Lepisosteus oculatus: one gene and its partner. The protein of the gene in region 1 purifies or fractionates together with the protein of each later gene. This does not show direct contact. Links are inferred from orthologs where the notes say so. Each region holds a gene or a part of one and is shown in the gene's direction. Other genes may lie near its edges.

Region 1 (7,900 bases):
CGATTAAAGCTGGAAAAGGATCGTACATCCATTTTTTTTCTTACAAAGAAAAGGCAAAAGGTAGCTTTTGAAATATTGTGTATATGCAAACAAATAATTCATATTTACCTTGATTAACTAATTAGCTTGATTCAGTAACAATATCGGGTCTGTGTTGATGAGAAATTACAGAGGAAGTGCACTGGTCACCAGTCCCTTAGGTGCTGCATAACAAGCATGCATTTCCAACTCCGCAAGAATGAGCAATATTATTCTGTGGTACGTGCAAAAAACAAGAGAAACGAAATCAAATCTTTCCCCTGGTTTATCTGGTTTCTTTTTTCTATTTGGTACAGTGGTTTTACTCCTAATGTCATCTTTCTACGAATGTCATGGGTGACAAAATAGAGATTTACAGAACGGCAAGGAAAAGGGACAATCGGGTTTATTGCTTTTCCGCATCAAGGCTCCTCAAATGCAAAAAAAAAGGTTTTTGCCTACCTAGGGATAAAGCACAAAGTGCAAGTCATGTCTTTGATAATTATGGGAACCAAAGCAATTATCCTTTTTGAAGCTAGCCACTAATGAAGAATTGATGGAGGAGACAGGGCTCTGTGGTTAAGCAGAGAGAGACAGTGCTCCCAGCCGATTCCTCTAGCACTCTGTGCTTCTCTTCCGTCGTTTGGAACTATTAGAATGAGACAAGTATGCCTTCCCATCTAATAGTGATCTAATGCACTCACTCCTCACAATGATCTGGTGAGCCGCCCTGGTTAAAGTAATATTCCAGGGTACTGCGCTGCTTCTTTACTGCTGAGGTTGGATTCTCACTAGAATTGATCAGAGTTCCAATTCACGAGCATTACATTAAGTTATTTTTTTTTCTTAACACTCTCTGTAACCCTGTAGCATGAATTTATTTGATGAAATTTGTTTGTTTTGTTAACTGTTGTTTTAATAATATGCTTTGTGATTTCTTTTCCACATGTGCAGTGCTTGCTGAGAAACCTGATTGAACTTTCATCATCAGTAATCTTCATTCTGACTAGAAACTGCTAGAAAAGTCTTGTTCTTTATCAATACATTTTATGTACTAATTCTGAGAACCTGTAAACATATTGGTTATATTATATACGTTTATATAACGGGGACAGTTCTTTTTTGTATCTTTCATATCAAGGCTCCTCAAATGCCAAAAAAAATGTTTTGCCTACCTAGAGATAAAGCATAAAGTGCAGGTCATGGCTTTCTGTTTTACATTAGACAGATGTTATATACTATCAGGTGGTTTTCCTACCCGCCAAATTCTGGTAAAATGTGCCAATTCTAGGCACAGCACTAGGAAAGCCTTTTCAATCTAATTCGGTTTCCCAGAGACCAGAGACCAGTGCTTTGCTGCAGCTAGGGTAAACCAGGTTAAAACCACTGTGTAACAGGCCTGTCTATATAAGATAAGATCACTTTATTAGCCATATACAATTTCTTGCATTAGGAATTTGTCTTTTCACATACCCCAGCTTGCTCTCCACGAGACACAGACAGGGAGAGAAGCTTGGGGTCAGAGCGCAGGGTCAGCCATTGTACATCACCCCTGGAGCAGCTGGGGTTAAGGGCCTTGCTCAGCAGCCCAACAGGGTAGGATTCCTCTGCCAGCCACAGGATTCAAACCGGCAACCTTCCAGCCACAGGCGCAGATCCTGAGCCACAGAGCCACCGCTCCGCCCCCAGTACATCTGTGTGAAATCTCTAAGCATTCCTCCCTCCTCTCCCATTCCAGGATGACCCGTTCTTCGACATGCACTTTGACAAAGTGCACAAGTTGGAGGCCCTGAGCTGCGCGGCCAAGTACTCCTTCGCTCGCTGCCTGACGCGGCTCAGCGGGACCTACTGCCAGAGGGAGCTCAAGATAGCGAACTTCGACATCACCTACATCGAGCCCACATCCCTGTCGTCCAACAGAGGGGACTGCATGGTGATCATGCAAATCTGCTTCTATGCTTTCAACCTCGTGTGCCTGTCACTGTGTCCCGTTTCCTAGGCGGGCTTCCAGACGGCAGAGCTCCGGTACTCCTCAGTCAGAAATGTCGCCCCTTCTCCATGGGGCTCAGTGTGCGGGAGTGTCCAACACATCAGCCAAAGCCTGGAAGTGAAGGTGTTGAAGAGAGACAGGAGGGACGTGACGTGTTTAACAGTCATGTCGTTTCTTTTCAAGATTTTTGCTTCAGCTGAAATCTCACTTGCAGTACGGACTCTGACCCTCTGACCCCTCTCTGCAGTCTGCAGTGCAGTTAGCACTATCACTGCTGGTGGGAGCCTGAGAGAGGTGTCTGTCACTGTGACTGATGGCCTCTGGCTGAAGTCAAACTGGGCTGTAGTTCACTCAGTGCACCACAGCAGCACCTTCAGTCGGGTCACAGGGTATAACACAGTGATGTGTCAATCTCACGATTTGTTAAGGTTTTATAAATGCAATGTACAAGATAACAGACTGTGTACTGAATCATTGCATATTCCCCTTCTTCAGAAGAAAGCTTTTGGTCATCTTGTTGTTCATTTAGCTTTTTCGGGTTGTAGTAGGATGAACAACGCAGGAAATTAGGATTCTGCTTTCTTTCTCCTTTCTCAAGCAATAGGTTAAAGTCATCATTAGAGAGGCCACTCTGGTGCCCACAACACATGTAAACAAAGTGAAATAGGAATGCATTTGCGTATATGCTTTGTATGAAAACCATGAAAGATTTGATTTGTGTGTCGTGTCCGCAGACGAACTGTGGGCAGGTGAAACTTATGCTTTCATGTGTACATGTCCAGCTGACCACAGTGAAACTCACAAGTAAGAGCTTCTTGTTTGCTTGTGACCAGGTAACACATACAGTACACTCCCATGTGAAAAACGCATACATTCAACATATTTCTAAACTTTTAACACTATGTTTTAATACCCAATAACAAAAGAAAGTCTACAGTTCTGTCTCATATTAATAGCTTGATCGGAAATACAAATTTCTCTTCACTTTCCGGCACTTTTCACTGTTTTTTCCTTTTGACTAACACTTGTAGAGTTAGTAAAGTTATGCAATGAAGTTATTAAGTTAATTAATAAAAACACTTAGATTTTCAATTTTATTATTTATTTTCTTTCTGATGATTTGTAGTTATTTTATTTGTGTTCACCAAAATACAAATGCTTTTAAAAATATCTGAAAATATTTTAAATAATTTGAAAATGAACAGTTGTCTACGTAAGTTGTATATATACATTTCAAGTTTTTTAGAGCAAAAATAATAATAAATAAAAACATACCTATTTCCAATTATTAAATTGAGTAAAATAACTTTGTCATTCATGTGGATTTACTGTGTGCAGTGCTTGTGATGTACAGTACCTGTACTGAAATGCTTGGTCTGTTTGAAGTGTCTTATAAATAAAGTAATCCTCTCAGTTTGTGTAAATACAGTATAGAATTTAATCGAGAAACTGAAGGTAAAAGATATTACTTTAAACCAGAATAATTTGTCAAATTTGTATATATTATAAAGCATTTTTAATTCAATCCTTTTAAATGTGCTTTATAAAATATACTTGTTGTTATTGTTATTATTATAAATACATCCTTAGGTGTTTTGCAAATGTTTTCTAAAGCATTAAAAATAAAACATAACTAAAAAAATAATCACGTCCTACATATCGATTAAGACTGAAATTGACCCAATCTGAGGGGCCTATATCTATTACTGTTGTCTGTGTTGCTTTTATTATATTGTGACGTTCGGTTACAGAAAGCAGCTACTGTAGACTTCCTCTACCTCCCTGAGGGTAAAAGTAGGGATAATGACCATTATGTGCAGCTTCCGTGTCCCTGTTCTTATAACCAGGTTGGCTAGAGCCCTTGACTGAAATGAAAGTTCCCAGGAGGAGCATCGGGGTGGAATCTCATTGTGTTTGTGAGGAAAGAGCAAGAATGCAAAACCGAACCACAAAATGTGACACCAGACATCCTGGATCTATTCTCTGCAAATTGGACCAGCCAAATTCACTTTCTATTTAAAGTTCTGATGCTGCCAAAAATCCAAAAGCGGTGATATTCTGTTAACGCTGGAAACTTTTCTTTGACACAATGAGTCTTGCAGTTCCCTTGGGATCCTCCTGAAGTCCAGAAGTCCTCCCATGAGCCCTGCTGCAGGCAGGCAGGCTGGGTCTTCAGGGCGTGAAGCAGAAACATCCTGGAAGCAGCCTGGATCTGTCCCAGGGCTCCCGGATGGGATGTTAGGATCAATAAACTACTTGCAACCAAATGAACAAGTTGCACGAAACGGCCTCCTCTTCTTGGTAACCTTTCCTTTAACTGGAGCCCATGCTAATCTGGAGGAATGTTCTCTTGGTATCTGAGACTAAATGCACATTTTATTTAGAAGCACCTTTAACAGGCTTTAACAGAAGCCAAGCACCCAAAATCTGTAACAAAGAAAATATATTACTGGTACGTTCAATGAGGGGATCTCTTAATACGAATCAGGGTTGGATTTAAAATGTTTTAGAAAACGTCTTTTCTTTCCTACTACACAACACAATACCCACTTTATCGTTGTAATGAGTCGCAGTGAACCGAACTCGAACCCGAACAAGACAGACGCAGTGCCCAAAGTTGGAGCCCTGGATTGAATTTCTCGACTACACAGTGATATTTAGATACTTTATATTTATATACTATATACTTCCTTTTTTAATGCATTATATTCATTTTTCTGAGCTTTTATTGACTTTCTAAGTGGATTTAACAATGCATTAGACGTGATGTCAAAGTTCCCCCCGGCCAGCCGAGCGCCCTGACTCTAATGACGTCCCTATCCTTCCTCTAGCCGCTGTTCCTGAGTGTGACGTCCTGCCTTTTATCCGGAAACAGGAAACTCAGCTGGGCTGGGGCAGCTTGCTAGCTAGCTCTGCGTTTGGAAACAGCTCATGACAGGAAAGCGGCTCGTATTGTTGTGTTTGTATGGATAAACAAAGCGACTAAGGGCAAGATATTGTCATTCCCGATACACATTGTTTTATTAAGGTAAATGTGCTTTCCTTGTTAACTAAACGTAATAGTTTGGGGGGCATTTTGATTGGAAAAGGGCGAGCCCGAATCCCTTGTTCGTTTACGTTTTGCCACTTAATCCGTATTTACTAAATGTGCTCTGTTTGGGGGTCTTCCATTTCAGCGGTATAAATATCAAAGAGGGATGTCTTGCATGGATAAGTCCTACAGTAGTCAGAGCCCCAGATGCATGGCGCCCTTTGTTGTTAAAATTAGGGAGTAGCGCGATTTGGTTGCGGGATTTAATTCCTTGTTGCGCATTACTGTTCGTGACGCCTGACTCAGAAGTAATTTAGATGCAGTAAATATATCGGTGCGGGTGTCTAGAGAAGGAAGTGGGTTCTGCTGCGCCGTGGGTTGCTGGGGAGTGATCCACGGCGCTGCAGAATTCGCACTCTTGGTTGAAGTGTGGGCTGTTGAAATCCCGAGGGCTTCCCTCGGTGCAGTCTGCCAGCCTAGGCAGGCTTCTCAGTCCCAGGAATATAATAATAATAATAATAATAATAATAATAATAATAAAAATAAAATACAGCGTTCAGGGACCCCCTGGTTGACTTGCACGGTTTTATTGTAACAGCAGTGTAATTCAGTGTTCTTAATGCCTGGTGTTTTTAAGAACCTGCAAAAGTGCTGAATAAACAACACAAACAAACGTGCAGCAGTGGTACGAACGGGTGCTCTGGCACGGAGCCCTGCCCCTCTCCCTGCCCTCGCGTGCCCGGCAGTAAGTACGGCGTGTGCCTGCAGCAGGAGGGATGACGGCCATCAAGCACGCCCTGCAGAGGGACATCTTCACGCCCAGCGACGAGCGGCTCCTCAGCATCGTCAACGTGTGCAAGGCCGGGAAGAAGAAGAAGAACTGCTTCCTGTGCGCCACAGGTGCGTCCGGCGGGCCGGGCTGCGTGCCTGGAAACGAGCGGGCGTGGGTGGGAGACCCGCGAGCGCTTTGCGGTCCAGCCCCCCAGTCTCCAGCACGAATCGTGCGCTGTAGGGTGGCGTAGTGGTCAGTATTACAGCCTCGCAGCGCTGGGGCCCTGGGTCCGATTCCAGACCCGGGGTGCTGTCTGCGTGCCCTTTGTGTGCTCTGGTGAGGCCCGGGGTGAGTCCTGCCTGGCCCCTGTTGCTTGCTGGGATAGGCTCCGGCTCCCTCCACGACCCTGCTCTGGAGAAAACGGTGGAAAACGGCTGGATGGCTGGATTATGGGGTCTCGCCATTTATTGAGATTTCATTTATCCGTGGTGGGGTTGGAGCGCTGCTGCTGATGTGGAAAGATCCGGTCATTATCACACCAGACTCCTGTTGGCTTCTGGAGTCCCGCGCCAGGAAACCGATTCCCGGGAAAGTGGTGTTCTGAAACGTAACCTCAGTGAAATCGTGCGTTCCGAAAAGAGCCCCAGCGCCGCGTTGGCGGGAGATGACCGTCCCTCTGCCACGGGCGCCCGACTGGGAGTTGTGCGTCCGCTCGTGACGGGGTGGGTGTCTGTGGCGCCAGCGGGACCAGAGCAGCGCCGAGCTCCCCTGGTCCGGCGTTCTGGGGAGGGCTCGTGCTGTCACACTCCAGAGTCCCCTGCAGCCCCGTCGCCCGCGGCCCCTCGCAGTGACGCAGGGCGCCCAGGGCCTGCGTGCCAAACGTTCTCCAAGCTGGATGCAAACTGCCAGGTTTCCGGAGCCGTTTGACGCGCTGCGCCGCCGAGAGTAGGCCCGTTTCTGAGCGCGTTCCTCTGTGTAGGCGTTCTGATGCTGTGTAGCGTCGAGTCTTCATCTGCACTGACGGTCCCTGTTTTTCCGAAAGCAGGTGGCTAAGGCTCAGTGGTGCTGCCGCTGCGCCCGGCGCGTGGGGACTGTTGCACAGCGGGTCGTGTGAGTGTGGCAAAGGGAAGCTGTTGACCCCTTGAAGAGTGAAGTTGTGTCACCTGCAAACTTGTGCGGTGCACAGAGTAACGCAGCTGAGTGTGAGAAAAGCCCCCTCACACGTCGGGCGTGCGCTACCCAGCAGCCTGCCCTGTAAGACCGCCGTCCCCCCTCTCCCCTTCCAGTGACCACCGAGCGCCCCGTGCATGTGCAGGTGGTGAAGGTGAAGAAGTCGGACAAGGGCGACTTCAAGAGACAGACCGCCTGGGAGCTCAGCAACCTGGCCATCGTAGACGCGAAAGATGCCAACAAGGTCTGTAAGAAAACAGCGGGGCGTTTTGTGTTTTCTTTGGCCTCCTTGATCATGTCATGCGTTTGCTTTAATACAGAAAATTGTTTCAGTTGTGGTTTAATTGAAATGAGGAGCTTTGCAAAGCACGTACTGTAGCACTTGAGGCAAATAATCAAGACGGCCTCGTCAGTAACAGGTCACAGATTTCGAATGTCACTGTAGTCTTTCCTTTCGTCCTGCTACAGTACATCTTCGCTTTTGTAACTGCAGTTCCTTAAAATTGCGATCTCTTTCTCCCAGCATGTGTACCCTTCCTTATGTGATTGGGTTTGTAAATGCACCTACCATTCAGTTCTTCAATTCTGAATGTTTCCCTTTGAACAGTATGATTTGTACATTTACTTGATCTCTTGAGTTAGACATGCATGTGAATGAAGTGATCATCTTGGGTCGAACACATGCTGTTTTTTTTCTTGTTCAACCTGTGCTGTTTGTAATTTTTGCTCGACTGGTGCAAAGTCCAGTAGAATAATTCCATTCATTTTTCATGCTTTATGCAATTTACCGTTTACAGTTTAATGCAGTTGCCCAGAACATGTAAAAGCATTTATGATGAGTCAAAGGCAACAAAGAAACTGTCTTCAGTTGTCCTTTATTGTAACTTGCTGTTCTTACAAGCGTTGTTTTTGTTTCTCC
Region 2 (7,936 bases), on another chromosome or scaffold:
TTTTATGTAAGACTGCTTCTGAAGTGCTCCAGCCCTTCTCTGGAAAACAAAGCTTTAAAATAGATATGACTCTCTGTGCTCTGTGAGAGCTTTTTACCATGTTGCAATTCATCAGAGAGGAGACCTAAATGTTCCTCAAGTGCCTTTTTATTACACTGCCATTTGACAAAAACGACAATAGCTTTGCATACAAAACCCTTTCAGGGGGCTTTGAGTCTCTTGAGACTTCTGCGAGTGGAAAGAGTTTCAAAACAGGAAACGTACAGTGTCAGTGTTTGTTCATTTTCTTTTCTCAAAGAAGGGCAAAGAAGGCACTGGTGGAATGACCCAGCACCGAGATTCAAAGCAGACAGTGAGAGACATTTTAGTTTATTGATACCAGCTGTAGATTTACTGCATCTGTCCTGTCTAATAATGGGCAATCTTCCCCAATACATGCCACACTGCTGCACCAGTCTTTGCAATTCGAATGGTTCTATTTCCGATCCCTCCATATGAGAACAGTTTTCTCAAGTAAAGACCTGTGATACCAGTAGAGCAATGTCAAAGCTTTTCTCAAGAGTGAGCTCTAGGAGAATCAAAGTAGATGGGATCAAGCCAATAGGGGAATACTGAGAAGCTTGTGAACACCATATTTTAATTTAAAAAGCCACAGTGCATCTGTGCAATGAGGTTCTCACTTCAATGCATAGCCCACATGTTATCTTTTTAGCCACAATTCTTTGCTCTCTAATTCTTCAGCTCTTCTTTATTCCTCTTGTACCTTGTTCCTGTGTTCGTACTACCTCACACTACCAATAACAGACATTTACGTATGATGATCTCTGTTATTTGTCAATGACACTGTTTCAATTTATTTAGCACTTCATATGAGAAACGCTGTGGTAGCTAAGAATACTCTTCTTCAGACTCCCTCTTCTGGACGGCCGCTGTACTACGGCTCTCCTAAACCAAGCGGTCAAGCAAACACAAACAGACATCAGCACCTGGTAAGCGAAGATATCACGAAGCAAGAAATAATACGTTCTTGTATTTACCTGTCAGGTAGATTTCAAAGCTTTGATATTGATTCCAGACAGTCAATAAATGCAGTACACCTTAAATGGCCAGTAGGAGCCTAACTAAACTATCTAATCTCTAGATTGACAGGGAACACAATAAACTCTGAATTTAACTAACTGCAAACACTGAAGATGCAGGCCTGTCTCATTAAAGAGCAACTTAAGCTATCAAAACTGTCTAGGGTTTTGGCTCTGGTCACAGAACAAGGTCTGCACAATCTTAGAATCTCTGTTAAGATTAGTCAGACAGAGGGTAACACTTTGTCTAATAGTTGTTCCTTAATATTAATGAAGCCGACAGGATAGACTCTTGAGACGGGTTCATTGTTTAAGAAAAGGATTGTTTTGCCTGTTTGAGACAGATGAAGGATAAATTCAGAATGTGCAGAATGTAAATCAGATTTAGGAAAGACATCACATCAGATTAGTTTGAGATATTATTCTTTTGATCTTTCATTTTCAGTTTTAGACAAGAGCCATCAAACAAAAAGAGTAAAATATATATGCATTAATGTGATGTTTACATATGTACATGTGAAAAGAATAGATCGGGGTTTTCCCATTAATTAGAACATTTCTAATTGTATTCCCTATAAATGCAAGATTATTTTGAAAATATAAATCTATCAACAAAATATTTGAATCATGCAATGTACTGGGCGTTTTAATTTTACAAAATATTGTCATATGCAGACATATTTTCGCAATTATTATACATGCTCAAATAATATTTCTGAGTGAAAGGCTAATTATTTCAAATTGAAACTTCCGTAATCTGCTAACGCAGGTAAGGGTCTTTCCTCCTATTTCAAAGTGCCAACTCGTCAGTGTCAAGGCTGTTAAACCTTCATACTTTAGTTTGGTACCAGACACCTACTGCTAATACGTGAGGTTTAATGCTGCTGTTCAGGAGGCAAGACTGTCACGATCGGTTAGGATTTTGGTTCGATTCCTACTGGGGTCCAGATGCAAAAGTTGCTGTTATTCCTTTGTCTGCCTGGATATCCTCCACATATTCCGGTTTCTTTCCAAAGGATTGCGATCTGGGATATCGAAATTGTGTTTGTGGCCTGCGATGGACTGTCGTCCTGCATGGGTATAGTTCGGCTTTGCACCAGATGGTACCGGGATATCAACCGGGAAGACGCAGCCATTAGAGGGAATGAGTTAAGGATAACATCACATTTTTAAATTGTGACTCATGTGACAAAAGAGTGGCTAACATAGTTCCACAAAACGCCAAGATCAGCGTTTCATAAACTTTGAAACCTTTGAAACTTTGAAACCTCAAAGTTTCAAAGCTCTGAGACAGTGAAAGTCCAAACGGGGGATGGAAAGAGTTAACAAAAATATCTGCATCATTTATCTGATCAGAAAAGAGAGGGGGTTTCAGTTTCCTGTGATACCATAATCTGCGTTTCAGAAAGGTTTGGGGTGGTGGTGGAGGAGGAATGAGGGGAGAGGGGGGTGTGAGGAGAGTTGAAGCAGAAGAAGAAAGAAATGTTATCCACAGGCGTACGTGGAAGCCCTGACCTGCAATATTCAGGATTCGAGGATCCTGGCTTTACTGGGATATTTTTTCTTTGATTTATCATTAACGCTGACACTGTATCCGCCTGATAAATGACCTTTGCGAGAATGTCAGCACACGAGTTCCAACTTACAATACGATCTAGCCGCGCGGTGTTCCTGTGCTCCAGAAACGTTTCCTTTACACGCATGTCTTGTTTTTCTCGGTACAATAAGGAAACCCCCATTGTTAGGGCTTCTTTTGAAAATCAGTAAAATGTAGATTAAAGATAAATGTAAATTTGCTTACATCACCTACTCGGTTCTGTACCTATTGTGTAGTATGTTTTACAGTGAACAAAATCAAGTCATGTACATGTGTGTAAAGCATCAGACATGTTAGGGATTAAATACCAAATTTTATGAGGAAAAACGAATATACGCTTTTATAAAGTTTGGGGATTATACAGTAGCTGCCTCCCGAGGTTCATGTTTAATAACCATACAACGTCCATTTTGAAATTAAGTAGAAATAAGATAAGACATGCAAAGAAAATGTTGTATTTTTGAGAATAAGATTACTTTTAGAGAAACAGAAACGATTACTTATTCTCCTATTTCAGCACAATCCCTACAATGACAATGACTATGTTTTCTCCTAATTTTTGGATGAGTACATTTAAGAGTTAACTGAGATTTAAGATAGTTATTAAACAAATAAGCAACTAAGATTTTGATTCTTGGATTCGGAGGGTTGTGGATGACAAGGGCATTGCTTTTCCTTCTGCTGTGTGATTTTGCTGACCGCAGCAGGAAAGCTATCCAGCCCTCACCAAAACTCCTTCTCTTATTCTGAAAGCTCGCAATGGCCAACAAAACCATTAAGTCCCTATCACCCAGTGTCCTGGGGGAAGAGAATCGAGAAGATAAAGTGTATGAAAATTTTTTTGCAGAACTAGAAACACTTGGCTTACCTTTGGGAACAACTCTAAGGTAGGGATCTTAAACCCATTTTTAAAGTTAAAAGCAGGAAAGAAAAGTAAAATGCTAAGTGTGTGCTCGTGTCTGTTATTCCTGGAACTTAAATGGCAACTCTTTTCAACAATAGCCGCATTTAGGAAAATAGAAAAATAGAGTAAGAGTCACGGAATGGACTGTGAACTTCTGTGAAGTAATAATTAAACCGAATAAACTGTGGTGTTTCCTGGTAGGACGTTCGAACAAAAGTACGCTGTCCTTCAATTACTATCACTCTTAAACTGAGATTTTTCCTAATATTATATCCGCTATTGCGCATTTTTAAATTAAGAAAACGAACATGTTACGGGTTGTAGACTGTTGTACTCGATTCGGGTTAAACACGCTTCATTGAAATGTGTCTAAGGAGATCTATTTCGCCACTATTTTCCCTATCATGTTTAATTATACCAAGGGACAAGTATTTTTGTTGTTTCTAACTGACTAGACCATACTCTTACAAGAACAATGTACTGTTTATTTCTCTTTTCTTAGTAGGTAAATGTATTTCTTCCCAAGGGATTGGAATGGAACTTTAAACATTAAGATAGCATCATTTAATCTAACCGTACTATACACTGAATACAGAAATAAGGAATCCTCTTGTGATCCATTTTTTTGTTCTGTGCTACATATTATTTTCACCGCAGTGGAGCAAGGCGAGGATAACTCCACACTGTGAAGTGAAAAGAAAGACGACAAAACCACAAGTTTCGTGTGTGATGCCATATTCACACACCTGAAGTACTCAACATCTAGCACATTGTGTTTTCTTTTCCTTTTACGTCGCAGAATGTATTTCTGTTCTTTAACGTTCCCAGGATGTTCTTTTTCTCCAGAGCGCTGTTACTTGAGTAAATAACATTTTATGAAACGTTAGAGTATTTCCAATTTGAGAGAAAAAGGGTGCATATGTGTGAGTGCACGTCACTCTGAAAAAAAGATCATTTAATATGATGCCAATTTACATGAGACAAACATTAATAAATACTGTAAGGTAGCCCTGTAATGAAAACATTCAACAACCAATCAAACGAAGCATAAGTCTTTGTTTAAATGGGAATGTTTATTTTCTGCAAACGTGAATCACCATGTGTATGGCGGTCCATGATTTTATGTTTGAAGCAGGTAAGAACACATAGGCTACATACTCTGAACATGCTTAATCCAGCAAAATCAATTCTTCCCCTTTGGAACACCTGCTGCCAACTTCACCGCCGACTCGCCCCCTAGCGCCGACTAGAGGCAGCACTCTCGTTCCCCGCAGTGTCACTTTGTCACCGAGAGCACAACAAACATGGCGGAGACTGCAACCTTGGAGAGTATCACCGAGCATGAACGTATCCTGCAGGAAATCGAGAGCACAGACACTGCCTGCGTCGGCCCTACGCTTCGGTAGGGAGAGAAACGTTTTGCCGTGCTCACCTTCGTTGAATCATAGTTGTAATTTCTACCTAAGACCTTGCAAGTGTATTAATTTAGCGGCCGGGCCTTTGTTAGCTATTGCTGCTAACCAGCTGAGCTTCCTGAACTGCGGCACAAGCAGTCGTCTGCTTCTTACTTCCTAGTTTGAAATAAATACTAATGCAATTAAACAGCACAATGTCTCGTTACATTTGTATACTATGTTATCGATTTATGTCTGTATACTTAAATAGTGCCAACAAAACGATAACCCGATAGTTATTTTAAGAAATAAGTGTTAGGGATTTACAAAACTGCAAATTGCAAGAGTAGGTAGTGTTTAAATGAAAGGGAGTAAATGCATATAGGCCATAGGACCGTTGTTTCTGCATATAGCGGTTCAATATGAATTTATGTATGCTTGTTATTGTCTGAAATATACGATGGGAACAGCTTCAGTACGACTGTGTACATTTATCTTGAGAAATTCTGTAGAGATTATAATAATTTGGTCTCAGAAACAGTTATTATAAGTGGGTGTGGTGGGATATCTGAAGGTTGTTACACTACACAGAAAATAAACTGATGCTGTTTCGATAAGGGGTAGCGCTTGCTTGTGATCCCCTTCTCAGTATCCGTTCAGCACGATGTTGCTAGCGCGTGATTTCGCGTTTGGAGAATGTTGATTAAAAGCGATTCTGAATGCCGGTTTCTGAAGCAAAGCACAGATAGTATTAACTACGGCGTAATAAATATAGAAAAAATCTAGGTGGGACATCCATTCAACCAAGAAATCTTGACTGTAGCCTGCTTGAGACCTTCGCTCGAAACAATTGCAGAACAAACCACGGGTCAACTAATGACGGCAGACATTTTTTTTATTTAAAAAATGTTAAATTCCAGGAGGGTTAATTATACCTTTGAACGTGTCTTCTGAAGAACAAAGAAATATTTACGTCTAATTAAAATGCATAAGAAAGGAAGGGGGTGTTTAGGAAATTCAAAAAATCTCTTTTGGCATGTATGGGCATGTAGTGCCTTATAACGTCAAAGCTCTGCCGAAGCAAGATGAATTAAGGATGGTACCGATTCCCTGTCCTATTTAGTGCATAATATATTGTATGGCATACCTTATAATAGTTCAAACGCACGCTTTTTTTTACAGTTGCTGTGAGTCTTCAGAGTACTGGCATTAGACGTTTTGCGTCACCTGCTGCAAGAGTTATTGATTTCATGAAATACACATACCTTTAAAAGCACAACGGATACACCATCTTTTGGTAGCTAACGAAAATGCTCATCGAGCAACTAGTTCATTTTACAATTTGAAGGCGGAAAATGTATTTTTGTGTGTCCCTCACTGAAGGGATCGTTTCTCCCATTCGTTTATCTGTGAAGTAGGTCACAATTACCGAATCGCCCTGATTTGTGGAGGCGCTCTGTGGGTTTCCTCTTAAGCACACTGTAGATCTGATTTTCAGTGTTGGTGCGTTAGATTTTTGTGGAGTTTTTCTGTTTCTCTTCCTTACTGGTAGGAGTTTCTTTTTTGTGGAAAAATTCTGTAATGGGAGTTTAGTGCTCCAAATGTATTATGCATTTTCGAGATTGTGTTTAAATGCACAGTAAAAATGATATAACCGTACCTATGTATCAGGCTTTACAGTCTAGCCATTGACATTGGCACAGCCAGTTCTTTCTGATTGTTCAGATGAGTTAACTCAGTGGTCTAGTGAAGGAGATGGTTTTCTCAGGTGCACTGAACTGTACTGGAGTGGCTTCAAGCCTCAGTATGGCTTTCACAGCATATTGAAAGTATATTGGATGGAAGAACAAAAAGCTAGTTTGAACAGCTTGACTCTGAAAACCTTAGTGTCATCGTTCGTGCATTGGCTGAAATGCAGTTGTTCTGTGGTACATTACAACATAACCATCCATCTGATTTCTAACTGCTCCAGCCAGTTCAGGATCACGGGGTATCCGGAGCCTATCCCATCAAGCAACAGGCACGAGGCAGGAAACACCCTGGATGGGATGCCTATCCATCAAAGGGCACACATAGACACAAACACAGATACACACACCACGACCAGTTTTGTGTATCAGATAGCACCCTAGGTCTGGAATTAAGCAGCAATGCTAATCACTGCACCTCCATGCCATAACCAGATTTTCCAATACTCATGTGCAAATTCAATTCGAATAGATTTAAGATTGTGTTAACCCCAGTTCATCCAAGTGAGACTTGCTAATCACTCCTCTTTCAGATACTGTTTAGCTCACTGTTAAATTCACCTTTTAAAGTCCTTAATCTTAAAAGGTTGCTTAAATCACAGGTGGGAATCTAATTGGCTTTGCGTATTGACTAGGGCAGGCCTTTTGACATGGAAATATGTAACACTAGCTAATCCACAGAGAATAACTGCCGTGTAGAAATGCTCATGGTGAGCACCTGCTGTACTGGGAGTGGAGGTTCCGGACAGAGCATTGCTCACAAGGATTGCATCAGTTCATAACTGCTGTGGTTTCATTGTGGACTGGGGGACTAAAATGTATCGTAATTGCATTGTTTAAAAAAACTGGTTTACAGTAAGGCCCAGAGATATAAAAAGAACCTGAGAAAAATAATAATAATAATAATAATAATTGCTTACACTTATATAGCGCTTTTCTGGACACTCCACTCAAAGCGCTTTACAGGTAATGGGGACTCCCCTCCACCACCACCAATGTGCAGCCCCACCTGGATGATGCGACGGCAGCCATAGTGCGCCAAAACGCTCACCACACATCAGATATCAGTGGGGAGGAGAGCAGAGTGATGAAGCCAATTCATAGATGGGGATTATTAGGAGGCCATGATTGGTAGGGGCCAATGGGAAATTTGGCCACGACGCCGGGGTAACACCCCTACTCTTTTCGAGAAACGCCCTGGGATTTTTAATGAC

Evidence for each region. The genes of interacting proteins can lie anywhere in the genome.
Region 2: the proteins of exoc1 (region 1) and exoc6 purify together in Homo sapiens (affinity purification with mass spectrometry; 4 studies listed by BioGRID and IntAct, counting the BioPlex papers as one, with this or other methods). This does not show direct contact. The link is inferred for Lepisosteus oculatus from reciprocal best matches to the Homo sapiens genes EXOC1 and EXOC6.

The regions. Positions count from the first base shown.
Region 1 is NC_090696.1:77,656,359-77,664,258, reverse strand, and holds the start of exoc1 (exocyst complex component 1), read left to right. Parts: upstream 1-4,874; 5' UTR 4,875-5,036; intron 5,037-5,676; exon of another isoform or gene 5,677-5,807; 5' UTR 5,808-5,815; coding exon 5,816-5,939; intron 5,940-7,097; coding exon 7,098-7,225; intron 7,226-7,900. Other genes in the region: exoc1l (exocyst complex component 1-like), read left to right, coding at 1,757-2,017.
Region 2 is NC_090699.1:23,699,170-23,707,105, reverse strand, and holds the start of exoc6 (exocyst complex component 6), read left to right. Parts: upstream 1-4,849; 5' UTR 4,850-4,884; coding exon 4,885-4,982; intron 4,983-7,936. UniProt on the Homo sapiens protein: Component of the exocyst complex involved in the docking of exocytic vesicles with fusion sites on the plasma membrane.